7 linked regions of the Canis lupus familiaris genome follow. The protein of the gene in region 1 purifies or fractionates together with the protein of each later gene. This does not show direct contact. Links are inferred from orthologs where the notes say so. Each region holds a gene or a part of one and is shown in the gene's direction. Other genes may lie near its edges.

Evidence for each region.
Region 2: the proteins of HNRNPU (region 1) and HNRNPAB purify together in Homo sapiens (affinity purification with mass spectrometry; 4 studies listed by BioGRID and IntAct, with this or other methods). This does not show direct contact. The link is inferred for Canis lupus familiaris from reciprocal best matches to the Homo sapiens genes HNRNPU and HNRNPAB.
Region 3: the proteins of HNRNPU (region 1) and RPL18 fractionate together in Homo sapiens (co-fractionation; 3 studies listed by BioGRID and IntAct, with this or other methods). This does not show direct contact. The link is inferred for Canis lupus familiaris from reciprocal best matches to the Homo sapiens genes HNRNPU and RPL18.
Region 4: the proteins of HNRNPU (region 1) and SNW1 purify together in Homo sapiens (affinity purification with mass spectrometry; 3 studies listed by BioGRID and IntAct, with this or other methods). This does not show direct contact. The link is inferred for Canis lupus familiaris from reciprocal best matches to the Homo sapiens genes HNRNPU and SNW1.
Region 5: the proteins of HNRNPU (region 1) and KPNA2 purify together in Homo sapiens (affinity purification with mass spectrometry; 3 studies listed by BioGRID and IntAct, with this or other methods). This does not show direct contact. The link is inferred for Canis lupus familiaris from reciprocal best matches to the Homo sapiens genes HNRNPU and KPNA2.
Region 6: the proteins of HNRNPU (region 1) and DAP3 purify together in Homo sapiens (affinity purification with mass spectrometry; 3 studies listed by BioGRID and IntAct, with this or other methods). This does not show direct contact. The link is inferred for Canis lupus familiaris from reciprocal best matches to the Homo sapiens genes HNRNPU and DAP3.
Region 7: the proteins of HNRNPU (region 1) and ILF2 fractionate together in Homo sapiens (co-fractionation; 3 studies listed by BioGRID and IntAct, with this or other methods). This does not show direct contact. The link is inferred for Canis lupus familiaris from reciprocal best matches to the Homo sapiens genes HNRNPU and ILF2.

The regions. Positions count from the first base shown.
Region 1 is NC_049228.1:35,785,603-35,789,653, reverse strand, and holds the start of HNRNPU (heterogeneous nuclear ribonucleoprotein U), read left to right. Parts: upstream 1-1,251; 5' UTR 1,252-1,490; coding exon 1,491-2,181; intron 2,182-3,076; coding exon 3,077-3,188; intron 3,189-3,272; coding exon 3,273-3,346; intron 3,347-4,051. UniProt on the Homo sapiens protein: DNA- and RNA-binding protein involved in several cellular processes such as nuclear chromatin organization, telomere-length regulation, transcription, mRNA alternative splicing and stability, Xist-mediated transcriptional silencing and mitotic cell progression.
Region 2 is NC_049232.1:3,625,291-3,629,314, reverse strand, and holds the start of HNRNPAB (heterogeneous nuclear ribonucleoprotein A/B), read left to right. Parts: upstream 1-1,224; 5' UTR 1,225-1,418; intron 1,419-1,501; 5' UTR 1,502-1,524; coding exon 1,525-1,733; intron 1,734-2,457; coding exon 2,458-2,626; intron 2,627-3,294; coding exon 3,295-3,453; intron 3,454-3,633; coding exon 3,634-3,765; intron 3,766-3,766; exon of another isoform or gene 3,767-4,024. UniProt on the Homo sapiens protein: Binds single-stranded RNA. Has a high affinity for G-rich and U-rich regions of hnRNA. Also binds to APOB mRNA transcripts around the RNA editing site.
Region 3 is NC_049222.1:108,362,322-108,366,424, forward strand, and holds the start of RPL18 (ribosomal protein L18), read left to right. Parts: upstream 1-1,303; 5' UTR 1,304-1,327; coding exon 1,328-1,330; intron 1,331-2,685; coding exon 2,686-2,772; intron 2,773-3,089; coding exon 3,090-3,197; intron 3,198-3,887; coding exon 3,888-3,986; intron 3,987-4,103.
Region 4 is NC_049229.1:50,827,854-50,832,043, reverse strand, and holds the start of SNW1 (SNW domain-containing protein 1), read left to right. Parts: upstream 1-1,390; 5' UTR 1,391-1,534; coding exon 1,535-1,548; exon of another isoform or gene 1,549-2,020; intron 2,021-4,190. UniProt on the Homo sapiens protein: Involved in pre-mRNA splicing as component of the spliceosome. As a component of the minor spliceosome, involved in the splicing of U12-type introns in pre-mRNAs.
Region 5 is NC_049230.1:14,368,000-14,372,207, forward strand, and holds the start of KPNA2 (importin subunit alpha-1), read left to right. Parts: upstream 1-1,408; 5' UTR 1,409-1,566; intron 1,567-1,953; exon of another isoform or gene 1,954-2,089; intron 2,090-2,865; 5' UTR 2,866-2,888; coding exon 2,889-2,963; intron 2,964-3,111; coding exon 3,112-3,249; intron 3,250-4,208.
Region 6 is NC_049228.1:42,030,533-42,034,699, reverse strand, and holds the start of DAP3 (28S ribosomal protein S29, mitochondrial), read left to right. Parts: upstream 1-1,367; 5' UTR 1,368-1,529; intron 1,530-1,781; exon of another isoform or gene 1,782-2,065; intron 2,066-4,167. UniProt on the Homo sapiens protein: As a component of the mitochondrial small ribosomal subunit, it plays a role in the translation of mitochondrial mRNAs. Involved in mediating interferon-gamma-induced cell death. Displays GTPase activity in vitro.
Region 7 is NC_049228.1:43,390,676-43,394,680, forward strand, and holds the start of ILF2 (interleukin enhancer-binding factor 2), read left to right. Parts: upstream 1-1,205; 5' UTR 1,206-1,314; coding exon 1,315-1,319; intron 1,320-1,557; coding exon 1,558-1,617; intron 1,618-1,709; coding exon 1,710-1,752; intron 1,753-2,092; coding exon 2,093-2,197; intron 2,198-2,475; coding exon 2,476-2,553; intron 2,554-3,501; coding exon 3,502-3,604; intron 3,605-4,005. UniProt on the Homo sapiens protein: Chromatin-interacting protein that forms a stable heterodimer with interleukin enhancer-binding factor 3/ILF3 and plays a role in several biological processes including transcription, innate immunity or cell growth.

The DNA.
Region 1 (4,051 bases):
ATGTATTTCATCTTTATGACGACTGAGTGGTAAAACACATGGTTCTTGGAAGCTATGGAGAAGAAACTTGAAAAAATAAAATGCATTCAACGGTTAAATCATACTGGCCTCTGCTAGTATTGCTCCAGTTTCAAGTTAACATTCGGGGCAGCACTACTCCAGCTCCAGCACCACACAGTGGGTAGGACTGAGCTCTCTGATAGTGGGACGTTGTCTAGTCACTGTGCAGGCTTTCTTGGGGGTGTCGCATGCGCCCCTCTATCACGTATCTAAGTGCTGGCCCCCTGTGCGCAACCTCAAGAACCTAACATGCCTTTTATTTGGGAAAAGGGAAAAATCAAACTTCTAAAACACACCCAAATACACAACAGATTTCGGGAGCCGATTGTCTCTTTTTTCTTTCTTAGAAAATCCCGGCCCTTTGACTCGTCCTGAGCTCTTACTGGCTTCAGCACGACTTATGGGGGGTGTTCCTGCGGGGGGGGGGGGGGGGAGAGGCGGCGGAGGGCACGATCCGGGGGCGTGAGCTCGCGGGGGGCCGTCTGGGCGGGCGGACGTGCCCCTCCGAGGCTCGCCCCGCTCTCCCGCCCCGGGGCGGCCGGACCAGCCCTGCCATCCGGGCTGGGGAAGAGACAAAAGGGATGCTCTGTCCTCGCCCTTCCCGAGCCTAAAATCCAGGGCGCAGGGCAGGGCCTGGGAACATTCCACCAAATGCGAGACGGAAGGCACCCCCCGCGGGCAGGGCCTGCCCGTCCGTGCCGTACACATCAACACGGAAATAAGATTTCGAGGCGTTTTAAGCAGCGGGCTGGCGAGCGAGAGAAAGAGGCAGGCCCATCCAAGATGGAAGCAAGGCCGAGGGCTCGGGCGGAAGCCGCCGGGCCGGGGCCGGGGCCGGGGCCGGGGCCGCCGGGCTCTGGGTGCAGCAGCCCCGCGCCCGGGGGCCGAGAGCGAGGCGAGGGCCGCCAGCACCCAGCTCGGGAGGCCGCCCGGCTGCGGCGGATCGCTGTAACCGAAAGGCGGCCCCCCTCCTCCCCCAGCTCGGCCCCGCGGGAAGCGCACTGCGCGGCCGGCGCCGCGCTCTCGGCGGGTTGGGCGTGGGGGCGGGGAGGGCAGGGCGGGCGGGCGGGCGGGGGCGGGGGCGGGGCGCGGGGGCGGGGCCCCGCGGCGCGGGCGCGCTCCCCCCCGCAGCGGAGCTCCCGTCAGCGCAGGGGGCGGGGCGCCTATATTACGTGCGCGGCGCCGCCCCTGCGAGAGGACGTTGCGTGCTCGCTCGCGCCAGGCGAGTCTCCGCGTCTCCCTCGCGAACTCGGTGAAAGGAATTGGCGCCGTTCGACACCAGGCGGGTCCGCTCTGCAGCACGAACCCACCTCTAGCCGCAGCCGCAGCCGCCGCCCGGGCCGAGGAGCAGCCGCAGCAGCCGCCACCAGTGGCCGAGGGAGCGGAGCCGAGTTTGAGCCAGCGCCTAGCGGTGAATCGGGGCCCTCACCATGAGTTCCTCGCCTGTTAATGTAAAAAAGCTGAAGGTCTCGGAGCTGAAAGAGGAGCTCAAGAAGCGGCGCCTTTCCGACAAGGGCCTCAAGGCCGAGCTCATGGAGCGCCTCCAGGCCGCGCTGGACGACGAGGAGGCCGGGGGCCGCCCCGCCATGGAGCCCGGGAACGGCAGCCTAGACCTGGGCGGGGATTCCGCCGGGCGCTCGGGAGCAGGCCTCGAGCAGGAGGCCGCGGCCGGCGGCGACGAGGAGGAGGAGGAGGAGGAAGAGGAGGAGGAAGGGATCGCCGCCCTGGATGGCGACCAGATGGAGCTAGGAGAGGAGAACGGGGCCGCGGGGGCGGCCGACGCGGGCCCGATGGAGGAGGAGGAGGCCGCCTCGGAGGACGAGAACGGCGACGATCAGGGCTTCCAGGAAGGGGAGGATGAGCTCGGCGACGAGGAGGAAGGCGCGGGCGACGAGAACGGGCACGGGGAGCAGCAGCCTCAACCGCCGGCGACGCCGCAACAGCAGCCGCCACAGCAGCGCGGGGCCGCCAAGGAGGCCGCGGGGAAGAGCAGCGGCCCCACCTCGCTGTTCGCGGTGACGGTGGCGCCGCCCGGGGCGAGGCAGGGCCAGCAGCAGGCGGGAGGTAAGAAGAAGGCGGAAGGCGGCGGAGGCGGCGGTCGCCCCGGGGCTCCGGCGGCGGGTGAGTGCTGCGTTGTACGTTGCGCGCGGCGGGAGGCCCGCGCGGGGTGGGGACCGTGCCCCAGGCCTGCCGGAGCCCCGCGGGGGGGAGGGGGCGGGGGCCGCCGCGGGGGAGGCGGGGGGGAGGGGGCGCGGGGAATCCCGCCCGGCCGCGAGGCCTCGGCGGCCTCGGGCTCGGCGTGTGCGACGGCGGCGGCGCCTCCATTATGTGGCTGGAGGGCCGGGGGGTGGGGGTGGTAGCTGCAGCTGCCGCTGGAGGGGGAGGAGCCGCGGGCGGCGGGCGGGAGCCCGGTCGGCCCGCGGTGGCGCCGCTGCGCTGCGTGCGCGCGGTGCGGGCACATGTCTCGGGGGGGGGAGGGGAGAAGAGAGGCCCGAGGGCCCGGGGCGGGCGCGCTTTGGCGGCGCTGGGCCGCGGTATTGTGCAAGGAGCGCAGGGGCTCGGCGTGACGTCACTTCCGGCGGGAGGGGCCGGGCGGGGAGAGCGGGGCGGAAGATCAGTACAATGCGGCCGCGGGGAACGCGGGCCCGGGTGGGGGAGGGGAGGAGGGGAGGGGCGGGCGCGCGGGCCGGCGCGGCCCCTCCCCCCTTCCTGAACTCTCTCCGGGATCCACGTGGGCTCGGGGCCGGGGCCGCCCTGGGCTCCGGGAGCTTTCTCGAATCTTCGAAGAGGCTGGCAAAATTAGGAATGTCTTTAGACTGCGTCACTAGCTCCTGGCCGGTTCCAAGCTGATTGTTCTTTGAATTCGCGTTGGATTCGTCGGTTGAAATCGCTTGCAGAAAAGAACGGGGGAGTTAGGAGTATTTGCGTTCCCCAAACAGGAGGGGGGATTTTTTTTTCTTTTTCCCCGGTTGCGTCGCGGCTTGGCCCCTTATGTTAGGGGTGTTGTGTGTTATAGGAGACGGCAAAACAGAGCAGAAGGGCGGAGATAAAAAGAGAGGGGTGAAAAGACCTCGAGAAGATCATGGCCGTGGATATTTTGAGTACATTGAAGAGAACAAGTATAGCAGGTAGAGGATGCCGATCTAGTTTTACCCGTCCCCGTTCTTTCTGGGGTAGGAAAAGCTGAATCAGGAGACAATTCTGTCTTTCAGAGCCAAATCTCCTCAGCCACCTGTTGAAGAAGAAGATGAGCACTTCGATGACACAGTGGTTTGTCTTGATACTTGTAAGTGAAGCTGTTTCTTCCCTTTTCTCCCCCGGTTACTAAATGTGGCGATTTTGGTGCCAAAATGTTAGAGAACTTAAACGCAGTGTGCTGAATTTAAATGCAGAATACTTAGCGTAAACCGTTTACCTTTTTTAAAGGAGGGAGACGAAAGGTTTTATTCAGATTCTGGTAGCTAAATGTCTAATACAGCATCAATTGTGTCGTATTGATAATTTTATAGGCTCCAGCAATTTGGTGTTATTTTTTATATGATTAGAAAGTTCTCATTTATAGGAATGTAAAATTAATGGCAATTTTTGGTTTAGTTAGCTAATGGAAACTTGTAAGACAACCTGTAACTTGTCCTTTTAGGCTCCTACGATAAAGTAATTTAATTTTTTTGGTAGCATTTTATTAAGTGAGCTATTTGGGCTAGTTAAATACGTATTAATGATTTTTTCCCATTAGCACACAAGTATATTCCCTATTCTAAAAGATTGTAATATTACTTTTTCAATAACTGCTCTTTTGTTCTCAATTCCAGTTCAGTAGCTGCTGCTTTAACATAAGTTGATTTCTTCCAAAGACCTGGGGCAGCAGCAGTGGGCTATCACTGGGCTACTAGCTTTCTTCAGCAGCGAATGGTATCAATGGCAGCGCTGTAAATACTGCTACTTTACCCAGTTGGGTTGCAATTGAGTATGAGGAAGTATTGCAAACCTC
Region 2 (4,024 bases), on another chromosome or scaffold:
TCTGGAGTTGATTATTTTTTCTGAATGTGGAACTGTTACATTTTTCATTCTCCCTGGCAACTACTGGCTAGCTGGATTATTAGGGAGCGAGCCTTGGGTCCACACTCCGGGCTTCAGTTTTCTCACTGATAAATTTGTGATGGTATCACCTTCCATTGGGTTGTTAGAAGACCAGGTGAGAAACAGAACCCCCAGACCCCCACACTAGGCCTGGCTGCAGGAACTCAGCGGGAAATGCCAGCTACTTAGGTTCTGTTGCTCTCTGGTAATCCTGGTCCATTTGGGGCCCCGGCACCCATATGATTATAAGGAATCAAGGGATTAACGCAGGCCTTTCAAGCGTGGTGGTCAAGCAGCTCAGATTAAGGGGTTTGGTGTATTAGGAAAAAAGAACCACTCCTCCCCACCTACCATCTTCATGATTTCAGGGAAATGGTTTATTTTTCTTTTTAAAGAGAAATTTCAGCAGAAATAAGTGAATGAAGTCGAATGGGAAATGTGAACCTCCAGCGTGAAAACGACGCTAATCGCCTAGGTGATGCCGGACGCCCCAGGATCGGGGAACACCCCGGCCCCACAGCGTCTCCCGCCACATCCGCCGAGAACCAGCGGCCCCAGCGGCCCCAGCGGCCCCGACGCCAGCGGGCTCCACCCCCTCTCCGCTTCTGGCCCGAGGGCGGCGGCAGAAAGAGCGGGAGCGCTGGGCCGCGAGGGCACCAAGGTCGAGGGGGAGCCCTGCCGCTGGCCTTGGGGGGCGCCGCGCGCCCCGTCTCGGCCGCCCGCGTTCCCCCGCTTGCAGCCGGACGATCGGGGCTTGCCAGACTTCTTAGAGCCCCGCTTCCTCTTTTGGGAAAGCGGTGGGCGAAGCTAGCGGTGCCGGGCTGGGGCGCCCCGCGACGAGAGCCTGCGGCCTCAGGCCGCGGAGGGGTCGGCCGCCGGCGCCCTCGGCCGCGGGGGTCCCGGGCCCGGCGGCTCGCGGCAGGGCTGGGGTCGCGCCCGGCCCGGCCGACCTCCGCGGGCGCCGCTCGCGCGGGTTCTAAAGTGAGGACAAAGCCCGCCCGGATTTCGCGTACGCGCGCCGCTGCGGCCAATGGGGCGCTAGCGCGCGTTTGAGTGACGGGCGAGCGAAACCAATGAGCACGCGCCTTGTTGCGAGGTGGGCCCGGCCCCGGCATTATAAAGAGCGCCACGAGTCGGCATTGTCAGGCGGCGGCACCGCGCGGGCCCGAGTGAGCTTGTCGGTCGGTGCGTCTGTGCGGCGCGGCGGCGGCGGCGGCGGCGGCGGAGGGCGCGAGGTCGCGGCGGCTCCGTTGGCGGCGGAGGCTAGGCCCGGCAGCGCAGGCGTGAGCGCGGCCGAGCCCGCGGCGCCTTCCCGGCGGGTGGGGACGAGCGGGCCCCGCGGCGTCATCGGCGGCGAGGTGAGCGGCCGGGCCCGCGGGCGGCGGGCGGGAGCCGGGGCGGGAGCCGCGCGGGCCTGACGCGCCGGGGCCGCTCGTTGCAGGAGCTGCCGCGCCTCGGCCTAGCATGTCGGAAGCGGGTGAGGAGCAGCCCATGGAGACGACGGGCGCCACCGAGAACGGACACGAGGCCGCCCCCGAAGGCGAGTCGCCGGCGGGGTCCGGCACCGGGGCCGCGACGGGCGCCGGAGGCGGGAGCGCGGCGCCCCCGGCCGGCAACCAGAACGGCGCCGAGGGCGACCAGATCAATGCCAGCAAGAACGAGGAGGACGCGGGGTAGGTGCGGCCGCGGGCCGACCGGGGCGCCGCCTTTGTTCCGGGGCCGCCTTTTGTTGGCGCCACGCGGCGGGGGGAGGGGCGGGCGGCCGGGGCCTGCTGGCTGCCCGCCGCCCGGCCCCTCCGCTCGCGGGCTCGCCGTTCGCGCCGGAGTTTGCAGGAGTTTGTTGGGTCGGCTTTGGCGCCGCCCCGGGGCCGCTCGCGCTGGGCCGGGGGCGGGCGGGCGGCCCGGAAAGGGCAGTGCGCTCGGACCCGGGGCCGGGCCGGCCTGGGGTTCGGCGGGGCTGCGTGGGCGGAGTTGGCGCGCGCCCCGGCCGCGGCCTCGCGGCCTCCCCGTTCCCCCCCTCCCCGGGGGCGGAGTCACGGTCTGAACGCGGTCTCCGGCCCCCGGAAGCCTCGAGTTCCTTAAGAGCGAGTTCTCGGGGGTGGCCTGGAGGGGCAGGGACGACGGCCGCTGGAGAGACGTGCTTGTTCGGCACATGGCTCCCTCCGTGCGTTAAGGGCCGATAGGTGCCCGGGCCAGAGTGCCCTTGGCCCCCTTGCCCCGTCGGGGGCCACCGAGTCTGAAGCTGCTCTAGGGTCAAGGTTGTTTGGGAGGGTGGGATTTGTTGACGCCTTCCAAATGTAGGACCCTGGGGGACTCAGGGTAGATCTGTGTGCTAGATGGCGACTTTGCTTAGAACCTGTACCCAGGAAGGGCTGGCACGTGTCTTTACCATTTCAGAAAAATGTTCGTTGGAGGCCTGAGCTGGGATACCAGCAAAAAGGACCTAAAGGATTATTTTACCAAATTTGGAGAGGTCGTTGACTGTACCATAAAAATGGATCCAAACACTGGCCGGTCAAGAGGGTTTGGGTTTATCCTCTTCAAAGATGCAGCCAGTGTGGAGAAGGTAAGCAGGATATTTGATGTCAGTGGTCTTAAGTTCATTCTAAGAGAATACTGATACCATTCTGAGCATGATTAGTTGGTGTGTTCTGTAGGTGGTTGAGCTTTGGGGAAAAACAGGTGAGGAACTTAACTGTTTTTGAAGGGATTAAAAATACAGATTAAGGGGTGGGTAGTAGGTATGGACTCAGGTCGTGCAGGAAGAGTTTAATTGGTGTTTGATGCCTACACTGGCACTGATAAAGCCATTGTTTTATGAGCACTAGAATAAGGAGTCTAGAGTTGCTGTGGAGTAGGCATTATTTTAGTCTCATTTTACAGAAAATACTCAGAAGTGTAAGTAGAAGAGTTTATACACCAGAAAGGGGTGGTTTCCAACCGAGCAGCCCACCCTCAGCCTGGACTCTTCATCACCGTTTCTTTACTTTTGAGAGACCAGCTTTAAACTGCTGCTCCTGGGAAAGCTGGTGGGGGCCGGGGTGGGCTGTAGGTATTCAGATAAAAGAGCTGTACTTGAAGTTAGATGAAGTTCGGTTGCTAAGTCAGATTGAGGGTAGTTTGGAGGGGATGAACAAGTTTGTGTACCAGTGTTGGGGCCTGTGTGGCTCAAGGAAGGGCCTTGGTGAGGGTGGTGCTGCTGAGTTAAAACTTGGTTTTCTTCTGTTGGGACAGGTTCTAGACCAGAAGGAACACAGGCTGGATGGCCGTGTCATTGACCCCAAAAAGGCCATGGCCATGAAAAAGGATCCGGTAAAGAAAATTTTTGTAGGGGGTCTGAATCCTGAAGCCACTGAGGAGAAGATCAGAGAATACTTTGGCGAGTTTGGGGAGGTGAGTGTGTGACTTTGGGAGTGACTTGCCAGTTGCCTTGAGCTTGCTTTCTCCCTTGGCTGGCCATTGCCCTCGTCAGCAAGGCCTTCCTAGGGTCTTTTCTCCTTGGAGATCCCTACGGGTCCTGGGGGCTAGGTAGGAAGAGGCATTATTGGTTCTGAGCTTTGCATATATTTACAGATTGAGGCCATTGAGCTTCCAATGGATCCAAAGTCGAACAAAAGACGAGGTTTTGTCTTCATCACCTTTAAAGAAGAAGAACCTGTGAAGAAGGTTCTGGAGAAAAAGTTCCATACCATCAGTGGAAGTAAGGTGAGGTATCCAACTCTGTATTTTGGCCTCCTGCTGCTGGAGAGCTGGCTCTCACAGGTGTGGGTTAGGAGTTGGGCTCCCTCTCCAGGGCAGTTTGACCCTACTGTTATTTTTTTTTTTGCAGTGTCTGCTGTCCTGATTGGGGCAGATGGTCCTGTCCTTCAGGGAGTCCCTAGGCTGGTGGCATTGGCAGAAACCCAGGATGTGTGGGAGGCAGGAGAAAGGGTGGTTTGTATGGGATGGAGCATGTTGAGTAGCC
Region 3 (4,103 bases), on another chromosome or scaffold:
CTCTGAGGAAGGAGAAAAGAGGGGACAGGTCAGCTTCGTCACTGCCCTGGCCAGTCCATCTGGTCCTACCCAAGAAGGGCTAAAACAACAGGAGCGGAGGCTACCTTGTTTTGAGCACTTTATGTGCAAAGCATTGTTCAAAGCACCCTTACTAACTTATGTAATGCTGGAAAACAAGTGTCAAGCCTGTTATCCCCTTTTGGCAGATAAGGAAAGTAAGGCACACAGAGATTAAATGACTTGCCCAAGGTCACGCTCTTGTTAGTAATTAGCATGGCCGGATTTGGGATCTGGATACAGCTGACAAGACCCCCATCTCACCATCTTTCTATGTCAGAGCGTATCACCCGAATCTCCAGGTTCCCTCTCTTTCTAGGTCTCCCTGTCATGCCCTGGGTCTCCATCGCCGGCGGGGGTTGGGGGGGCATCCCTCGCGTCTCTGTCCACTCCCGCTCTGGGCCTCCAGTCCTCCTTCCCTCTGAATCTTTATCCCCCAAGTCTTCCCTTCTCTTTCAGGAGGCTTTTACCCATTCCCTCTCCACCCCCATACCCCAAGGCTGGGGCTTCGGTGTGCCTCCTCCGCATTCCAGTACCGTGTAAAGCCCTCACATGGAGCCCGCGGGGCCACTCGAATCTCCTGCAGGGAAAAGCGGCCCCCAAGGGGTAGAGGCTGAGGCGGGGCTCAGAAAATGGGCAAGGGGAGGAGAGGAATATAAAAATTGGAAATACAGGATGCTATAGACTGGGCTGCAGCAAGAAGATCTCGGGTTAGATCTCAAGTAGGACTTCCCGAGCTACGGCGGCGCCTGGGAAGCACCGCGCGAGATAAGAGAGGTGAGCCCGATAAGGAAACGCCTGAAGCGTGGGGTTAGTGGTTTCCCGAGGTCCTGACAGGCCCCGCCAGCTCCGCCTCCTCACCTCCAATACTCGGCCCGCCGGGTCCTCCAAGGAGCCACAGAGAGGCCGTCGGCGTCGGGCCAGAGCGTCACCGTGCGACGCGACCTCCTAGCGCCGCACATCTCTCTCGCTGCCAATTCCCTTTCTTCCGGAAGACTATCGAGAACTAGGAAGGGCCAGAGAGGCCCCCGACGTGGTCGCCGCCCCTCCACCCTTGACGCAGCGCTTGTTCTCCGTGGGTGGTGGTTCGTCCACTTATTCCGGAATCGCCCATTCGACGCTCTGCGATTCGCCATAGAGAGGCCCGACTCGAGTAGAGCGCCGCGTCGCGCCCGCGTGACGTCACACAAGCGCCCCTCGCTGAAGGCTTTCCCCGCCCCCTTCGGCACTGTTCTCTCTTTCCGGACCTGGCTGAGCAGGAGGCGCCATCATGGTGAGCGTGCTTTGAGGCGCTCCGGGCTCGATTATCCGCCGCCATCCGCCGCGGTTTTGGGCTGGGGGAGTGCTGGAGGGGAGCAGGGATGTCGGGGGGGTTCGAAGGGGGCGACTCCCGCAGTGAGGGGACTGTTTTGGTGGATTCGAAGACCAAGGGTGGGTTAGTTCTATCAGCCTCTGGCCACTCTCGTCCCCTTTTATTATTCTAGTTCCAGTTGAGCAGATAACCCAATTGAAGTGCAAGGAAGTTAAACGTTGTGACCGGGGCCGCGTTGCACATTGCGTTCTTCGCCACATTGCAAAGAAGTGGCAGACCCGGGATTCGGACCCGGGTGCTAACCTCACGTCCGCGCTTGGTCTCTTAATCTTTGCCGCCCCTACCTGGACCTGTCACTCCCCTGACCTGGAACCTTGGGTTCTGGGGGTGAGGGAGGTCTCCACCGTCCGATGCCCGGCTTTTGCGGCCAGGCGGACCTCTGAAGTCTCAGCTCCCTGTCCAGCCTTCAGTCTTGGCTTTCCCCGCCTGTAACCCCAGTTTCTTGGTCTGTGCATTGGGAACACAGTAATCATGCGTCACAGACGCGAGTTTGGGAAGAACCTGTAGGAGCTACACATTGGAGATTCTTGGATACTGAAGTGCTGGAGGAAAGGAGCTACGAATAGTCTAGTAGCTCTACAGCGCCTGACAGGGCCTGTTAAGGAATCTCAGGACAGCAGCCGGAAGTGGTGGAAGTTGTGGCTTCCTTCAGTTTTCTTAGCTGAAGTGGGCAAACTTGTCTCCTCGGGCTGTTGGATTCAAGAAGCTAGTGCATGGAAGATTCTAGTACTGGTTCTGTGTGGAGTAAGTTCCTAACAAAGGTTCTTTGCTGTATTATTAGGTAGAGTCTGCCCTTGGGTCATGTTCTTGAAAAATACCACTTTTGGGGGATGCCTGGGTGGCTCAGTTGGTTAATCATCTGCCTTTGGCTCAGGTCGTGATGCTGGGGTCCTTGGATGGAGCCCCAGGTTGAGCCCCATCAGGGCTCCCTCCTCAGTGGGGAGTCTGCTTCTCTCTTGTGCTCTTTCTTTGTCAAATAACATTTTTTTAAAAAAATACAGCTTCTGAAGAATTAAAATTTGTTAGTGGATGTAAGTCCTTTAAAGCTTTTTAAGATGCCATGTGCTGAAGGTTTTGTGTGTGGATTTAATACTTTTCTTATGTTGGGGTTGTTGGAATCCCAGGTCTTCTAAGGGTGGACTTGGGATTTGTTGTCTCTTCAACAAATGAGGCCCTCTCTCTTCCTCAGAGAGGAAGAGTTCTGGGGGTGAGCTGCCAGAGAGAGTTGGGCCCACGGTCTATTCTTATCTCTGCAGGGAGTCGACATCCGCCACAACAAGGACCGAAAGGTTCGGCGCAAGGAGCCCAAGAGCCAGGACATCTACCTGAGACTGTTGGTTAAGGTGAGGTTGAGGCCGGAGCCCCTTAGGTGCCACCTAGAACTGCAGCTTCTAGAACCTCCTTTCTAGTATCAGGCTTCTCCAGGGGCCTGCAGGGCAGGCTCCTGTCTGTGGTTCTGCCCAGGGCTCCTGGAGTTTCAGTGTCCTCAGCCTCAGGGCTTATACAGCTGGGGAGTGGGGAGGGGAATTGGGGGGGCTAGGGGATGGGAAGCCATAAAAACCTTGGCAGCCCAAACCGGTTTTTTGTTAAGTTGAAGGTTGGAAGAATGGTGGGGGCTACCTACCCTGGGTTCCTATTCTGACTTTTCTCTGACCTACAGCTGTACAGGTTTCTGGCCAGACGAACCAACTCTACCTTTAACCAGGTTGTGTTGAAGAGGTTGTTCATGAGTCGCACCAACCGGCCACCTCTGTCCCTTTCCCGGATGGTGAGGAGCTGATTCCGTGGGTGACTGGATTGTGTCTTAGAGCCTAGCTTGGGGCAAGGTTGCGGGGGCTCAGAGCCTGGCCATCAGCTGGTTTCCTTCATCCCTTGGTGTGTGCAGAGCTCCAACCCTTGACCCTGGGGCTTATAGTTAAACAGCAGTGGGGGGATCTCTGGGTGGCGCAGCGGTTTGGCGCCTGCCTTTGGCCCAGGGCGCGATCCTGGAGATCCGGGATCGAATCCCACATCAGGCTCCCGGTGCATGGAGCCTGCTTCTCTCTCTGCCTCTCTCTCTCTCTCACTCTCTCTCTGTGACTATCATAAATGAATAAAAAATTAAAAAATTAAAAAAAAAAAACAGCAGTGGGTATTTGAGCAACTTGGGCTCATCTTGTCGTCGTGAAGTTGGGGTGGTTGTAGTGGCTTCAGGTGGCCTGCTGTCACATGACACTGGTCTCAGGTGTCATAAGCTCTCCTGAAGGAGAGATCTGTTGAAAGGTCTGCATTTTGTCTCTGGTGTTTTTCCCGCCTGGACTGGAGGTTCAGCCTATGCTGATTGAAAAGCTTGTGGCATGGGTGGGTTCAACCCCTTTGGGGCCCAGCTGTCTCAGGCCTTGGGATGCCTGAAGCAATGAGGTTGGAGTGAAATGCCAGAAGGAACTTCCCTTAATGTGGAATTATCCTTCTCCCAAAGATCCGGAAGATGAAACTGCCTGGCCGGGAAAACAAAACAGCTGTGGTTGTAGGAACCATAACGGATGATGTGCGTGTCCAGGAGGTGCCCAAGCTGAAGGTATGTGGAGGGGGCTCAGGAGTGTGGTGGGTGGGCCAGAGCCCAGACTCGCAGTAGAGTCTGCTGACCTGGCTCACTGCTGATGACCTCTGTCAGAGTGCCTTGAGGCTTGTGATG
Region 4 (4,190 bases), on another chromosome or scaffold:
TCAACCCAGTAACAATGAATATTTATTTGTAGCATCCAGATTGTTTTCTCTAAAATATCGCTTTCCCACTTAAAGGAGGGCTTCTTGGAGAAATGACTGATTCCAAGTCATTCCAAATGACTTGGAATCAGTATATCTAGAAAAGTACTAGATGAATCTACAACATCTTGTCACACCAGAAATTTGAGTCACCCTGGGTAGTGGATTCTGCTTCTGCTGCTCAAAGTAGGGTGTTTGGTTCAGGACAATTCAAAGAGCTGTACACTTACGGTGTATGCATCTTTCTCTATGTGTCCCATACTACAACTAAAAATTTGTTATCTACTTTTTGTCGTGGAAGATGTCAAACGTGTTAGTATAATAAACATCCAATTCCCCATTATCCAGCTTCAACGGTGATCAGAAATGGCTATTCCCATTTCATCTATACTCCACCCACTTCCCTCTCTCCAATATTTGTAAGCAAATTTCATTTATCCTATCAGTTTGTCAAAGATTATGGTTAGGGGCTCAGTCCGTCAAACCTCTGCCTTCACCGCAGGTCATGGTCCCAGGTTCCTGGGATCTAGCCCAAGATCCAGCCCAGTGTGGGGCTCCCTGCTCAGGGAGAAACCTGCTTTTCTCTCTCCCCCAGTACCCACCCCCTATCTTGCTAGTTCTCTCTCTCAAATAAATAAATAGAATCTTTAAAAAAAAAAAAAAAAAGATTATGTCTTGGGACGCCTAGGTGGTTCAGCGGGTTGAGCATCTGCCTTTGGCTCAGGGCGTGATCCTGGAGACCCGGGATCGAGTCCCAAGTCCGGCTCCCTGCGTGGAGCCTGCTTCTCCCTCTGCCTGTGTCTCTGCCTCTCACTCCATGTCTCTCATGAATAAATAAATAAAATCTTAAAAAAAGATTATGTCTAATCCATAATCTACGTTAAACACATCGTCTAAACACGCACATACATAAAAGCATACATAATACACAAAAGAAGTGCTGTAAAGGCAACTTACCGAGGATCACACCAGACCTCCCCAGGACAGTGTTTTGGGGGTGGGGTGTGGAGGTAGGGGGCAGAGTTCAAAGAAAAGTTTCGAGTGTGAGTATTTTTGGAGCGTTCCCAAACTCTCCCTTCGACAGTCTCCCGATTTCCCATTGTTTTAAAACCCTGTCACCCTTTTATTTAACGTTGCCATTCCCAGGATACTCTTCTTGTGTTGGGGATGACTACACGGGGAATGAGACTGAGTGGGGAATAAAATAAAGCGGTTTAAAAGGCACCTCACCTCCGTTATTTTGGAAGAATAGGGAACGCCCTATTCCGTCACAGGGTACCAGCGATGCATCTGCCTTAACTGAAGCCTTAGTCTCATGATAACCGCGCGGTCGGCTTAGGACAGAATCGCACTCTCTTGTCCAAAGAACTACGAATCCCAGAAGGCCGTTCGGCCGAGGCGCCTGCGCATCGCGTGCTCCTTCCTTTCCCCTCCTCGTCCAGGGGAAAGACCCGCCCCGCGGTGCTGTCGCTCGCGCTGGAAGAAGCGGAAGAAGATGGCGCTCACCAGGTGGGTTGTTGATGGGGGTCCTCGATACGGAAGGGTCTGGGAGTACCCACGTTTTTTATTTCTCTGCCCACTGTCTCCGGGCGGTGACCTGGCGCGGGGCACAGAGCGACATGGGCTGGGACCGCGGCTAGGCCCTCCTGCAGGCCTCCGGGGCGACTAGGCCTCACGGAAGCTGGGGTCTTTCCTCAGCGGTTTCCCGGGTCGAGTTCGTCCCCTCACGAGGGCCGAGAGCCTTGGCGCGACAAATAGTTCTCCGGCCTCGGATGCCAAGGAGTCGCATCCCGGGGTTGTGGAGAGCGCTCCGAGCGTCCGGTCCGCGCCTCGGGCGGGCGCGGTGGGGATGTGGAGGGCAGTGGCTTATTTGTCTGGACGAAGTGAAGCGGCGGGAGCCGACGAGCCGGCTTTACCGCCGTGTGTCTGCCGAAGTCTCGTCTGTGCCCCGAAACCAGGATTCCTGAAGAAAAAAAAAAAAAAAAAAAAGATGTGAGGTGAGGGGCCCGGCACCGAACACAGATCTTTTTTTTTTTTTTTAATTGGCCACTGTCTACTAGTAATGAGCCGCTGCTCCGCACTTTTAACTTTGGACCTTAGAATTTCTTACGTAGATAGAACCACTTCAGATTTTTGCTGTTCTCGGTTGCCTTGGTAACCGCGTGTAAAGTGGTCCCCGCCTTTGGGGGGGGGGGGGGAGAGAGATTCCGAGGAGTTACATAACTCCTGCTAGTCCGCGACCTGCTGCCCCATCTGAGAAGAAAAACTTCCCGTATGCGGACGCAAGCAGGAAAAGTTGAGTTGTCAAAGATGCCTGTGAGGGAAATCGTTTTTGGGACATCGGCTTGAGCTCCCTAAACATGCTTGATTCTCCTCACGCTTCTTTTTCCTGGCTGATGGCAGTTATGGATCCCACAAAACGTTTTAATCAGAAAGTTTTTGGGGGGGAATTAATTTTGGGTGCCTTGCTCTCTCTATATCCTAGGGCCTGTGTGTATACACACACACATACACACAAAAAGCCACCTAACAGTCTTTGCAGGGAAGGTAGGGTCCAAGGCATACAGATACGGAAGAAAGAACAGCACAGAATGCTCACTTGTGTGGTAGTAACCTTAAGTGCAAAAAGAATTAGACTGAATAAGTTGGATGAACTAAGGAGTTCAATTTAGTAAGCAGCAAACATTTGAGTGCGCCTCCAGGTGGGAGGCACTGTGGCAAAGATTCCCAGGGTTGTGAGGGAAGGTATTTGTGGAAAAGGACACAGGGAAAATAACAGATCTTGTGGGTTATTGTGGGCTTAAAATTGCAGCGGCAGAATGCAGTCCTTAAATGGCTAGTCTTGGAGGCTACATAGTTTTCTGATTTCAGTGAGCTCTGGTTGATTTGATTGCAGGTGAAGTGTTACCTTATCTCCAAGACCTACCAAGGATTACTTAACGGCAGGGACTTAACATATTGATGTGTTGCAGTATTGGTGTCACCAGTTATTGTGACTAACTAAAGATTTGAGGTCATACTGATTTAGTCCTCTAAATGCAACTGTATTTGGGGTTATGTATCTAATAATATTACTTGCATTTAATATGCTTTATTTGGTAAAGGGGAAAGGGTAGACCAAGGTGTCTCAACAGTGGGCAGTCCCCGTGGCTCAGCGGTTTAGCACCGCTCAGCCCAGGGCGTGATCCTGGAGACTTGGGATCAAGTCCCATGTCCCGCTCCCTGCATGGAGCCTGCTTCTCCCTCTGCCTGTCTCTCTCTCTCTCTCTCTGTCTGTCTTGAATAAATAAAATCTTAAAAAAAATAAAAATAAAAGATGTCTCAACAGTGGCACTGTTGAGGTTTTGGACTGGATGATTCATTCTGGTGTGGGGCTGTCCTGTGTATAGTAGTAGGATGTTTAGCAGCATCTTTGGCCTCTATACATTAGATGCCAGAGGCACCTCCCTCCCCTTCACCCATTCCCTATCCCCTAAGTCTTGACAATCATGTCTCCAGACATTATCAAATACCTACATTGTAGTTATTTTGCCACCCAGTTGAGAACCACTGAGGTAGACTTTCTGCTTACATATACAGCCCACAGCCCACTATGTACCCCTTTCCCCTATCCTGCCACCACAGGAGTGTGCCTCTTGTGGGAATGTCATCTTTTACAAGGAAAAGCAAAATTAAGACCCTCTGGAAGGCTAGAGTATGTTCAGACCCTAATCCAGGCCAAGTTACTTGTTTACTGTATCGTCTGGACCCTTTGATTTGGCAGGCTGCCTGCCTTTGGATCATCTTAGTAATCAGTTCTTACAGCAGAAGGTAAAGAATAGAGAAAATAATAAGTATTTTGGCTTCTTTACACTATCTTTGTATCCTTCCTATGAATTGGGTATATGAGTTATACTGAATAGAATTATGGTAAAAGCCCAAAACTTTTGACTCCAGTCCTCCATCCATTCATTCATCATTCAACAAATACTTGTTGAAGATCTACCATGTGCCAGACACTGTGCTGGTTTTACAGTATTAAATCAGTGCTGGTTTTACAGTATTAAATCAGTCTGGCAAACTCCTTTATTTTCGAAGAGCTTACAGTCTAGGAAAGGCAAACTACTTATCTATCTGTATGTAAACAAATCAATAATGCAATATCAGGTAGT
Region 5 (4,208 bases), on another chromosome or scaffold:
ATTTTGCACTTAGGGGGATGGGATCATACTGATTGAATTGGGAGGCGTAGAATCAACTGCTAATGAAGCGCATGGCTGCTACACAATGAATGAGGCTGGCAAAAATGCCTGCAAGAATGGATAAAGTTCAATGTTTGAATTTCTTTATAGTAAAATAAATAAGCCAATACAACATTTCTAAAAATGCCCTTTTTAGAATGCAGAAAAATTGCACAAACAAAAAGGTCTTTAATTCTGATGCTCTGTAACCATTTGTGATGCAAGAAAATGCAAATATTTTATTCAGAGAAGTGTAAAATACAGCATAGAACATATTGGAACAATTGTCAGAACTTGAACACACTACATAATACATGATAGCATCAAAATTCAGTTGTGTTGGGATCCCTCACTGGCTCAGTTGGTAGAGCATGCCACTCTTGATCTTGGGTCATGAGTTTGAGCCTCATGATGGGTGTAGAGATTACTTAAAAAAAAAATCCTAAAACAAAACCAAAAAAAGTTCATTTGTCCTGAATTTGATAACTGTGGTGTAGTCATATAAAAGAATGTTACTAGAAGATACAAAATGAAGTATTTAGTGGTTAAGGGACATAATTTCTGAAATGCTTACAATTGGCTCAGAAATGTATACGTGGCTTTTACATATTACTTTTACTCACATATGTGTGTGTGTGCATGTGTACATAGAGAAATAGCAAATGTGGCAAAATGTTAATATTTGGCCAATCTGGGAATGGATTTGCAATTCTTCTGTATTTGAATTTATTTATTTATTTATTTATTTATTTATTTATTTATTTATTTATTTATTTATTGTATTTGAAATTATTTAAAAGTAAAAGACTGGAGAAATAGGCTTAAGAAACCTTCTGTTTCCATGTTTGTGGCTTCTATGCAGTCTTTTCTAACTCACGTTAAAAAAATAAAAACTAAAAAATGCAGCCCAAACCTGCCTTATCCTTTCCCTCCATAGTGGCCAGAAACCCCTGCCAAGTTCCTACTGTGTCCCATCAAGGAAAAACCTCATAGCAATATGTTTCTATATCAAATTTTTTTTCTTTTTTTACCCACCTCCTCTCTTTCAAGAATTTTAAAGAGCATTATTTTGGAAATCAGTTGTGGTGTTTGGGTTAAAGCAGCTGCCCAGGCAAACGACCTGGGAGCAACCTCACTAGCATGAACCCCCCGCAGAGCCCCTAGATTGAGGCCAAAGTCCAGCGCACTGGCCCGCTGCACGCCGGGATCTGGAGTCTTTCTTCATCCACCTGCAAAGCGCTCTGGGATTGCCTGGCCTCTCCCATATCTCGCGATGCTCTCTTCTCTCCTTCTTAGCCCCATGACCCCCCCAAATCAACGTGTTTTTCAAATCCGCCAATGGGAGCGCAGCGTAGGCTCGAACCAGCCAATCGGAATGCGGGGACACCGGGAAATTTAAATCGCGCCGGCCGGCAGCACGAGCCACACCGTCTCTGGGCTGATCCGCGGTGGACGTTTTGAGGGCAGCTGACCCGCGGCCTGCGCGCCCCGCACCGCCTCCCGTGGAAGCCTGAGCCGGCCGTGGAGGTACGACTGAGGCCAGGGCCCGGCCCGAGCGGCAGCGGCAGGCTGGCAGGCCGCGCCCCGCTTGTGGTGGCGGGAGGGGAGGCCCGGATTCCACGCCCGACCTGGCTGTGGCCTCCGTCGTTGACGAGGCCTGGGGGCGTCGTTCGTTGAGGAGGCGGCCGTGTCGCGGTGCGATTGCTTGGGTTTGGGGGCCGCTGAGGCTCTGCGGACCGCGGCGGGAGCTGCGGCGCGTCGCGGCCCAGAAGATCGCCGAGGCCCGGGCGGCGCTGTCCCCTCTGGCCCCGCCTCCGCCCGTTCCCCGCTGCATCTTCCCGGGTGGGGGGCAGGGGAAGGGCTTGGAGACGGGGCGGGGGGGCGGTGGCAGTTGGAAGAACCGTCTCTTAACACGTAGGCCCAGGCCCGGCTGTGACACAGCGTCGGCAGGGAACATCACGGAATGGAAGACCGCACATTGCCAGGAGGACTTGTACTTTTGTCCTCCCTTGGCGATCGCTCTGAAAGAGCTCTGTTTGAAGGAAGCGGGGTTAGTAGCCGCCTAACTGAGAGCGTTTCTTGGGAATGAAAATGTTTGCCGGGTGCTGAGGATGCAGAATTGGGTCTCGAGGTCTCGGTGTTGACACGCAGGGTTATGGAAGCCTCCGTAACGCGATGATGTGCCACATACTCCTTTAACTTTCAAGTGTGGAGAATGGACCTGTTTGGGCCATTGGGAGAGCCTCCGGAATATGGATTTGTGGCCCGTTAGGACGTCGGTTTTAACTGTGAGCTCAGTTTGCCCCACTCTGTGTTCAGTTGGTCCCAGCTGCACCGTCCAGTGTGGTGTGTGAGTCCTCAAACCGATGTGGCTAGCCCGGATTGAGCTGTGCTGTAAGCCCCAAGTACGCACATGATCTCCGAGTATTAGTATGAAAAGTGTAAAATCTATCTAGCTCGAAATAGGAGAACATGTGGAAAGGAGAGTATAGCGGACGTGTTGGGCCGGAGGGAATAGATTTGAAATTCATTTCTCCCGTTTCTTTTTGCGTTTTTGAAAAAATGTAGTTACCAGGAATTTTCAATTTATGCAGCTTGCTTTCTCTTTCTGATGGACAGCACTGTTCCAGGAAGTCTCAGCCTTTCGGAGAGGAGGGGACTAATACTGTTGGGCCAGTTCAGTATTTCATAGTGCTGAAAAAGGAAGTTAGTCCTCTACTATACAAGTGTGGGTCCAGTATATGCTTGGTAATTCTATTAATGCTCTTCTTATTGACAAAGCAAAATGATAAATGGGAAATTTCTTTCTCTTCCTCCATCTTACAGCTTTCTTCCTTTGTCTCATAACCATGTCCACCAACGAGAATGCTAATTCACCAGCTGCCCGCCTTAACAGATTCAAGAACAAGGGGAAAGACAGTACGGTGAGTATCTTCTGTTGCTTTCCTGTGCTATTTTTTAAATGGAAAGATATTTGGGAAGTGATCAGAACTTTGAGGAAATTTGAAATAAATATTCTCACTTAGCCACAAAAATTGATATAGTGGGTGAAGTGGTTTATCTTCTTCCAAGGAAATGAGGCGGCGCCGAATAGAAGTTAATGTGGAGCTGAGGAAAGCGAAGAAGGATGACCAGATGCTGAAAAGGAGAAATGTAAGCTCATTTCCTGATGACGCTACCTCTCCACTGCAGGAAAACCGCAACAACCAGGTAAATATATATTTTAGATTGTGAATTCTGGCAAACCCACAAAATCAATATGGTGCTTTTCTTAGAAATTTAAGCAAGGAGTCCCTGGGTGGCTCAGTCGCTTAGGCATCTGACTCTTTATTTCATATTTCACCTCAGGTCTTGATCTCAGCATTGTGAGATTGAGCCCCACATTGGGCTCCACACTGGGCACGGAGCCTACTTAAAGAAAGAAAGGAAGAAACTTAAATAATGTTCCTAGCCTAATGGTTTTAATTGTCAACTCTGTTAATGATCTTTTTTTTTTTTTTTTTCTCCCAGTCAGTAATTCTGTTGGGTTGTCTTCTTTCCTGGTCTCCGTAATGTACTGAAACAGATTCTGAAGTCTCCTTTAGCTCTGAACTCCCTTCAGATTTCCCTGCATTTCTAGCCACCAGTTCAGGACCTTGACTGGCCATTCCTGTGTTAACAGAAAGTTCGTGTGTCTAGAACTAGTCACTTTCTGGCTTCTTTGGATGTTCCCTATTTTTTGTATTTGTCACCAGCTTTGTTCAGATCTTTTCCCTCCTGAACTATTTTAGATGGTCTTCTAATTTATCTTTCCCTTCATTCTGTGCCACATACTATTTACCTAAACATAGTCTTAAAAATACTGCTTTAGACCTGTTCTTTCTCTGTTAAAAATTTTGGTAGTTTTAAATCCATATTCTTTGAAGTTTTTTTTTTTTAATTAGATCAATCTTAGGTTTTCAGATTTATCTTTTTGTATCTTTCAAAGATACTGAGAACCTTTAGTAGTTCAAAAAATTGTTTTTCACTGAATAGTTAATACCTATGTGTTATTTCTAGAGTACTATATTCAAATCCCATCTTCTTACAGCACTCCTTGGTCAGCCTAGCAGGAAAAATGTCTCCTTTTTAGAATTCCCATAGCATCCCAGATGTGCACTAAAAATGGAGAGTAAATGCTAACACAATAT
Region 6 (4,167 bases), about 6.2 Mb from region 1:
GCCGAGAGTGCCGGGTCAAGCACCCCCACCCCAAGCCCACCTCCTGGGCCACTCTGCGCGGCCGTGGGATGGGGGGGATGCTCCCGCCGCGCCTCCGCGACGCGCCAGCCGACCTGTCAGGGGCCGGGGCGACTCCGCCTCCGCTCCCGACTTTCCCGCCCCCTCCCCGGGTCGGGAGCCCGCCCACCAGGGGCACCCCTTCCCCCTCGCCGGGAGGGACTTCCCGGTCCGCGCAGGATCCCCTCGCCTCCTCCCCTCCCCCACCCCGCCGCCGCTCCCCGGAGAGGTCCAGGTCCGGGAGCTGACAGTGGCTCCCGGGCCGCTGAGGCTCGCCCGGCTCCCGGAGCACTTAGGCCCGAAGCCTTGGCGGGCGGTTATGCTCACCGTGTCAGAGGCCGCGGCCGAACGAGAGGAGAGTGCAGGGAAGTGGGGAAGGGGGGCGGCCGCCAGCAGGCTCCTCCGCGTCCCCGGGTCGGCGGCCGATCCCTGCCGCCTGTCAGAAGGCGGCCCGCGGGTGCACGGACCGGCGGAAAGGCGAGCGAGGAGAAGAGAACGGCATGCGGCCGAGCAAGGGCCACCGAGGGGAGGCGGTCCCGCAACCAAGACGGGGATCGTCTCCCCCTCCGCAAAGCGAACCCAAAATGGCGGCGGGAGCGGCGGCGGCAGAGCGGCGGCGGCGGCGGCTGCTGCTCGGGAGGGAGGGCGGGCGCGAGCGAAGGGCGCCTCGTGCCCCCCCACCTCCCACCAGGCCCTCCCCGCGCCCCCCCCGCGGCCCCCCCCGCCCCCGACTCGGGCGGCGGCGCGCGCCCGCCCGCCCGCACACGCCGGACAGTCTCCCGGCTCGCCGCTCGCTCTGCCCCGGCCCCCGCCTTCGGCCGCCTGGCCCGCCCGCCCGCACGGCCCCCAGTTCCCCCGCGGCCCCTGTCAGGACAGCCGGGCGCGGGCCCTCACGCATACCTTCGGCGGCGCGAGCCCCGGCCTCCTCCTCCTCCACCGCCTCTTCTTTCCTCCCCCCCTTCCCCGCCCCCACGGCCACCAACCGCCGCCACAGCCGCCGCCGCCGCCGCCGCCCCCCCACATGCCCTCCGCCCCTCGCGCGTGCGCCTCCCACAATCCCCCCCGCCGGACCGTTCCATTCCCGCCGCCGCGGGAGCGCGAGGGGGGAGACCCGGGCCGCGGTGGAGCTGTGCTGACGGCTGGGGCTGCCGAGGGGCGGCCAGAGGTCCACACGACTCACCTCCGCGGCCGCCACTCCGCGCCGCCCAGGCTCGCTTTCTCGCTGCGCAGCCTGGCCGCGTGGGGATCGTCGAGGGCGGCCCTGCTCCCCTCCGCGGGCGGGCGGTTGGAGGCCGCGGCGGCTGCGCGGTAAGCAGCTTCCTGCCCTACAGCCCGCGCTCGGCGGTCTTCTGCGGGGAGCTCGGGGAGCGGCCGGCACGCCGTGAGGAGTACGGTGCGGAGAGCAACCCTGCGACCCCGGCGCGCACCTCGCGGGGAAGGCTTCAGGGACGGCGGGACCGAGCCCCCGCGAGGTAGGCAGAGGCGCCCGGGGCCGGCGGCCGTCCTCGGAGCTGGGACCGAGGGGGCGCCGCTTACAGCTGCGTGCCGCCCAACCTACCCAGGCTTCCCCGCCCGAGGGGGTCGCGCGCGTTCCCCTGGGGTGGATGTTGCACCCTCACCGCCTCGGGCAGCTTGGAAGCAGGAGTCTTTGTAGCTGGGCTCCTATCTCCCCGGTCTTGCGTGCCCTTCAGAAAGTGGGTTTTTCTTGGTTGTGTATCAAAAAGGAACGAAAAAATAGGCATCAAAATTGGTCGACCCGAAAGCGGCCTTCGGAGTTGATGTTGACACGAGTTGGAGTTGTTCAGTCGGACACGAGGCACTGAAGGCAGAGCCGAGTGCGCGTTCCCAGCTTGGGCGATGCGGGTCGGCTGTGTGGCTCCGGTTGTGGCGCGTGTCCTGCCCCCCAGCTGGTCCACAAAACCGTGCTGACCCGAGGCCTGTCAGGTTTCTGCGGCTCCTGGCCCAGCTGTCTCAGAATTCTGCACGAACACCCCAGTGTTCTTAATGAGTAAGTTCAGGAGACTTATGGACTGTCAAAACCCAAAGTCTGCCTAATTCAGTCTGTTTCGTTTCATCCGGAGGGTTTCCCTTTCCTTTGCTTCTGCGAACTTCTAAGAGTCGAGGGGACACTTTGAAAATCAGTCTACTAGATTGACCTCAAAGCCTTATTCAAGCTCTGAAGTTTAAGCAGACATTTCCCCCCATTCTACATTTCCATGTTTGATCAGGTTTTGTTTGCTTGCTTTGTTTTCTTAAGGTAAAGAGCTTTAATGACCTCACTCTGTCTTTGCTTTTCCTACCCGTGTCTTTTTTTTTTTTTTTTTTAAAGATTTATTTATTTATTCAGGATAGACATAGAGAGAGAGAGAGGCAGAGACACAGGCAGAGGGAGAAGCAGGCTCCATGCCGGGAGCCTGACGTGGGACCCGATCCCGGGACTCCAGGATCGCGCCCTGGGCCAAAGGCAGGCGCTAAATCACTGAGCCACCCAGGGATCCCCCCTACCCGTGTCTTAAGTCTCAGTTCGTTCATGGAGCCCACTTAGGTTTGCTTTGGGTCTTTCTTTAATGGTGTCAGATACGCAAATGTGATACCCTACCAACATTTTTAATTTGACGGCAGGGACTAGATCTAGCACTTCTTTTGTATGGTTGTATAGCCCTAATGCAAAGTGAATGGTGGAAATGTTGAAAGAATGTTAGATACTTAAAATCTAAGAAGGGAGAGAGAATTAACGTTTGTGGAATGCTATGTCTGGAGAACACACATTCCTGCTTGATTCTTAGAATGACACTTTGAGATAGATCATCCTAATCCCCGTTTTATACATGAGAAGCCTGAGGCTCAGAGAAGTCCAGTAACATCTTTACATTTTGCTTTACCTGTCCTAAAAACCTTTTTCACTGTATCGCATTGTCTTCATAGTAAAAATTTGTCATCACCAACATAATTATATATGTTACAAAGAAAAGCCACTTAATGGGATTCCATTGCACCAGTATATAAAGAGAAGAAAGTTACTTGCTTGTGGTCCCTGCCTTCATCTGGCTTTCCTGAATTGTCGCCTAAGTATACACAAGATAGTACCCTGTTCTTTTGTATAAGCTTCAGTGCCTATTAAGTCTCAGTAAAGTGACCTTTTCTAATGAATGAAACCTGAATTACTTGAACCAGGAAAGGTATGGAAGGCAGAATAATGGTCCCCCAAAGATGCCCGTGGCCCAGTCCCTGGAGCCTGGGCATATGTTATATTACATGGCAAGAGGGAATTAAGGATGCAGTTGGAATTAAATTTGCTAATCAGCTAACCTTAAAATAGGGAGATTATCCTGGATTATGTGGTAGGCCCACTGTAAGTACAAGAGCTGTGAAAAGATGGAAGAGGGAGAAGAGTCAACATCTGAATGCTGCTATGTGACAAAGCCTTGACCAGCTGTTGCAGGCTTTGAAGATGAAAGAGCAGCCTCTAAAAGCTGCAAAAGTCAGAAAACCAGGTTCTCTACTAGAGCATCCAGAAAGAACACAACCAAACATATACACCTTGATTTTGTTCAACTACAGAACTCTGAGATGACAAATTTGTGTAGTTTTATGCCACTAAGTTTGTAGTAATTTGTCACAGCAGCTGAAAACTAATGCAGAAAGAGGAGCCAAATCATGATTGACCTCCAGAATACCTGCTTTGGATTGTGGTTTTGTGTTTTAATTCAAGAGTTTGTTTTATTTTAGGATTTTATTTATTTATGAGACAGCGCATGAGCAGGGGGGATGGGAGGGAATGAGCAAAGGGAGTGGGACAAGCAGACTCGCGCTGAATGTGGAATTGGATGCGAGGCTTGATGCCAGGACCCTGAAATCATGACCTGAGCAGAAATCTAGAGTCTGATGCTTAGCAGACTAAGCAACCCTGGCACCCCAGTGCTGTAATTCAAATGAGGATGTGGTTCATCTGAAAGTTTGCCCCAAGCAAAGTGATCCACACTCAACCAAGCTGCCTGGATTTCCTGTATTTTCCTGCTGCTATGCTTCTGGCATGAGTCCTCAAGCTGTAAATAGACAGCTGGGTTCTCTGGTCCTGCTGTATTGCAGCAGTCTTTGCTAAGCTGCCTT
Region 7 (4,005 bases), about 7.6 Mb from region 1:
CACAAGTCCTTTGTCCTCACCTGGGTGATGGTTGCGCGGCGGAGCCCATCACTCAGTTAAAGTAGAGGAAAAGCTTGCGGTGCTGCATGTTGCTTGGCCGTCTCTGAGTGGGTGACCCAGCAGCCACCGCGTGTGACCCTGGGGCTGCAGCGGAGTCCTCCCTACACTGTCCACCAGCGGGGAAGCACACAGACCGCAAATCTCTGCTGAAAGTAGAAAACGTGCGGGCAGTGAAGTAAACGTATCCGGTGCAGAAGGGGAGAAGCCGGAGAGAAAGGACCCGGGAGGGACCGGCTGCCCGCGACTCGGGGGCGGGAGAAAGAGCGCCTGCCTATGCGCGCTCGGAGCCACCTGGCGGGGGTGGGGGGCAGGTGCCCTGGGGGTCGCGGAGGGAGGGGAACCTGGGGGAGCGAGACCTTCCCCAGGCGACTCGGGTTCCTCCTCCTCTGCAGCCTCCCCTCAGCGCTTTTTCTGAACTTTTTTTTTTTTTTTTTTAAGATTTTATTTATTCATGAGAGACACACAGAGAGAGGCAGAGACACAGGCAGAGGGAGAAGCAGGCTCCAGGCAAGGAGCTTGATGCGGGAATACATATAAGGACCCCCGACATCACACCTTGAGCCACCCAGGTGCCCCTGAAGGGTCTTTCAAAGGCTGCCTCGGTTTCTCCTCTAGTCTAACCCGTTGTCATCAGGGCTTTCCGTCTGATAGGAGTCTGATCAGCTTCTCTTGCCTCAGGTTCCCGCCTTCGGTGAGCCCCGCCCAGGCGTGTAGCGTTGCCTGAAGTCCCTTCCCATCCCCTTCACTGCATTTTGGCAAAAACGGTTCTAAAGGCTGCATTTTTGAGGGAGGAAAAGGTGATTATAAGCACTAAAAGTACGTGCAGCACCCAAGGAAAAGATGTAACACCTTATAGCAGAGGATGGTTTCGATCCATCGACCTCTGGGTTATGGGCCCAGCACGCTTCCGCTGCGCCACTCTGCTACTGGTGTCGTTAGCCTCTCAGCATCCTAGACGAAGCTCTGTCCAGTCATTTTTGCACCGCGCCACCTAGTGCCTGCCTTAAAAAAAAAAAAAAAGGTTGTTACTGTGAAATCTGTTCTTATTGGCTAATTTCTGACACAGCAGGCGCTTCTTATTGGCTTGCAGGCCGGTCTGCGAAAATAAGCCAATGGGCGTTAGCGGCGGCGTAGAGCGGGGGCCAATCGGGCCAGAGTTTGTTGGGACGCTCCGGCCAGCCGCGTCTCTGGTGTCTGCTCCTCCGAGGCGAGGGGCGGTTAGGGTGGCTTCCATTGTTCGGGGCTTAGGGCGCCATGAGGTAAGGGCCGGGGCGGGAAGGCGGCGGGCGGAGCCCAGGGGCCGAGGATTGGGCAGGCCGGGGGCCGGGGGCCGGGCGGCGGGCGGACTGGCCTTGACCTGGGGCGACGGCTCCGGGAATCCCGGGGTGTACGTCCCCCGGACGCGCGGTTGGAGCCCGGGCCCTGGGAGCGGGGAGCTCGGCGCGGTGGCGGTGCCTTGGACGCAGCGAAGACCTCCGGGAATGTCTGCCTTCCTAGGGGTGACCGAGGACGAGGGCGCGGCGGGCGCTTCGGGTCCCGAGGAGGCCCAGGAGGCGGGTGAGTGCCGGTCCCCAGTGCCCGCCAGCCAGAGGCACCGCTCGCGGTGAGAGTTGGCTGAGGAGTAACGGGGATCCCTTTTCCTCTTTCAGGTTCCGGCCGTTTGTGCCACATATTCCATTTGATTTCTATCTGGTGAGTAACTAGCTCCTTTTGACCCTCGTTGACCTCGAGTGCCCTGGAACCCCGTGCCTCGCCGCGGGTGCGCGGGGTTCACGGGGAGCTCGGGCCGGCAGGAAGCAGCAGGGTTTCGGGTCGCCTGCAAAGCCCGTGTGCTCACGGGGCTCCTGTGGGCGCTAACAGGACTGTGGTCTCTGCTCTGGATGATGAATGCCCTCTTTGGTGTATCTGTTTCTGTAGCGCAATGAGAACTTAAACGATGGCTGGTCCTTCCAGCAAGTACTCTGGTTTGAGTACCTTAACGAGTAAAAACAAGTATTTTTTGTAAATAGCATGTCGTTTCTTTGTGCCTTAGTGTGAGATGGCTTTCCCCCGGGTCAAGCCAGCGCCTGACGAAACTTCGTTCAGTGAGGCCTTGCTGAAGAGGAATCAGGACCTTGCTCCTAATTCTGCTGAACAGGTCTACTTCTTGGGCTTTCTCCCTGAGATTTCTCTAAAAACCTCCCACCCAGGTTGCTGTTACCAGAGCCTATACTCCGCAGAGGCTCAGCTGATCTCATTTCTCACTGTGGGTACAGGGAGAGTGTCACAAGATTATATCAACAGATTCCATGTGCATTTATGTTTTTATTCAGGGATGCGTCTTTAGGTCAAAAAGTTATGGAAAAATACCCCAACTCTGAGAAGTTGCTTATAATTTTTCACTTTAGGGTATCTTTGTTTCCTGCTGTTTTTCAGGCATCTATCCTTTCTCTGGTGACAAAAATCAACAATGTGATTGACAATTTGATTGTGGCTCCAGGGACATTCGAAGTGGTGAGTTTTAGTGATTTAATCATTGGAAAGGGCAGCCTTAGTGGTGTGGGTAGTGTTTCCTTCGCTCCTCCTGTCTCTTAAGTCTTCAGTTACTTATTCGCCAAAGCCAAGCCTAAGATGGGAAGGAAAGTACAGTGGGATCCCTTTGTGGTGGTGATCTTGGGGACAAGACTTGTATCAGTGTTATCAGCTAGCCGTGTATTAGGCTCTTCATGGGGTAGATTGATTGATCGGTTGATAGATTATTTTAAAGATTTTATTTATCTATCTATCAATCAGAGAGAGAGAGAGAGAGGCAGAGACACAGGCAGAGGGAGAAGCAGGGTCCCTGCAGGGAGCCTGATGTGAGACTGGATCCTAGGACCCTGGGATCTTGCCCTGAGCCACAGGCAGAGGCTAAACCACTGAGCCACCCAGGCATCTCCATGTGGTTATTTTATGATTTGACTTCTGCTACTTCTAAACCTGGGTAATGGGATCCCTGGGTGGCGCAGGGGTTTGGCGCCTGCCTTTGGCCCAGGGCGCGATCCTGGAGACCCGGGATCGAATCCCACATCGGGCTTCCGGTGCATGGAGCCTGCTTCTCCCTCTGCCTGTGTCTCTTTCTCTCTCTGTGACTATCATAAATAAATAAACATTTAAAAAAAATAAAATAAACCTGGGTAATAATTGTGTTGTAATTGAGTTCTGAGAAGAACTAGGCAGTCCTTTATTAATTTTAAGGTTTTATTACTTATTTGAGAGTAAGCACGTGTGGATTGGGCGGGGGGGGGGGCAAAGGAAGAGGGACAAGCAGAATCCCTGCTGAGCCGGGAGCCTGACTGATCCCAGGACCCCAAGACCACTACTGGAGCCAAAGTCAGACTCAGACATTTAACTGACTGAGCCACCCAGGCCCCTCTAGATAGTCTTTTTCACTTCTGCATCTCCCAATCCCTTTTCCAACAGCAAATTGAAGAAGTGCGACAGGTGGGATCCTATAAAAAAGGAACAATGACTACAGGACACAATGTGGCTGACCTGGTGGTAATCCTAAAGATTCTGCCAACATGTGAGTGCATCTCTTTCTGGCCACAGGAGCAGAAAGTTGAGTTTGAGGCATAGGTGTCTTCAAAGCCCAAATTTCTTGTGAGAAAGGTCATTTTTTAACGTGTGTTGGGGTAATAAGGGACAAGGTCTGGACTGTGTGTCTGAAAGAATGTATGGCTGTTACTAAAGGGTAGTGTTTCTCAATTGGTGATTTTTTTCTTCCATGGACTATTTGGCAGTGTCTAGACACAGTTTGGGCTACTGGCAATAAAGGAATTAGAGATCAGGGATGATGCTAAGCATCCTACAGTGCATAGGACATATTCTGCCCTTCAGCCCTCAAAGAATTATCCAGCCCCAAGTGGCATTTGTGCCATTGATGAGAAACCGTACTATAAAAAATAAGGGTGTGGGTCTAGGAGG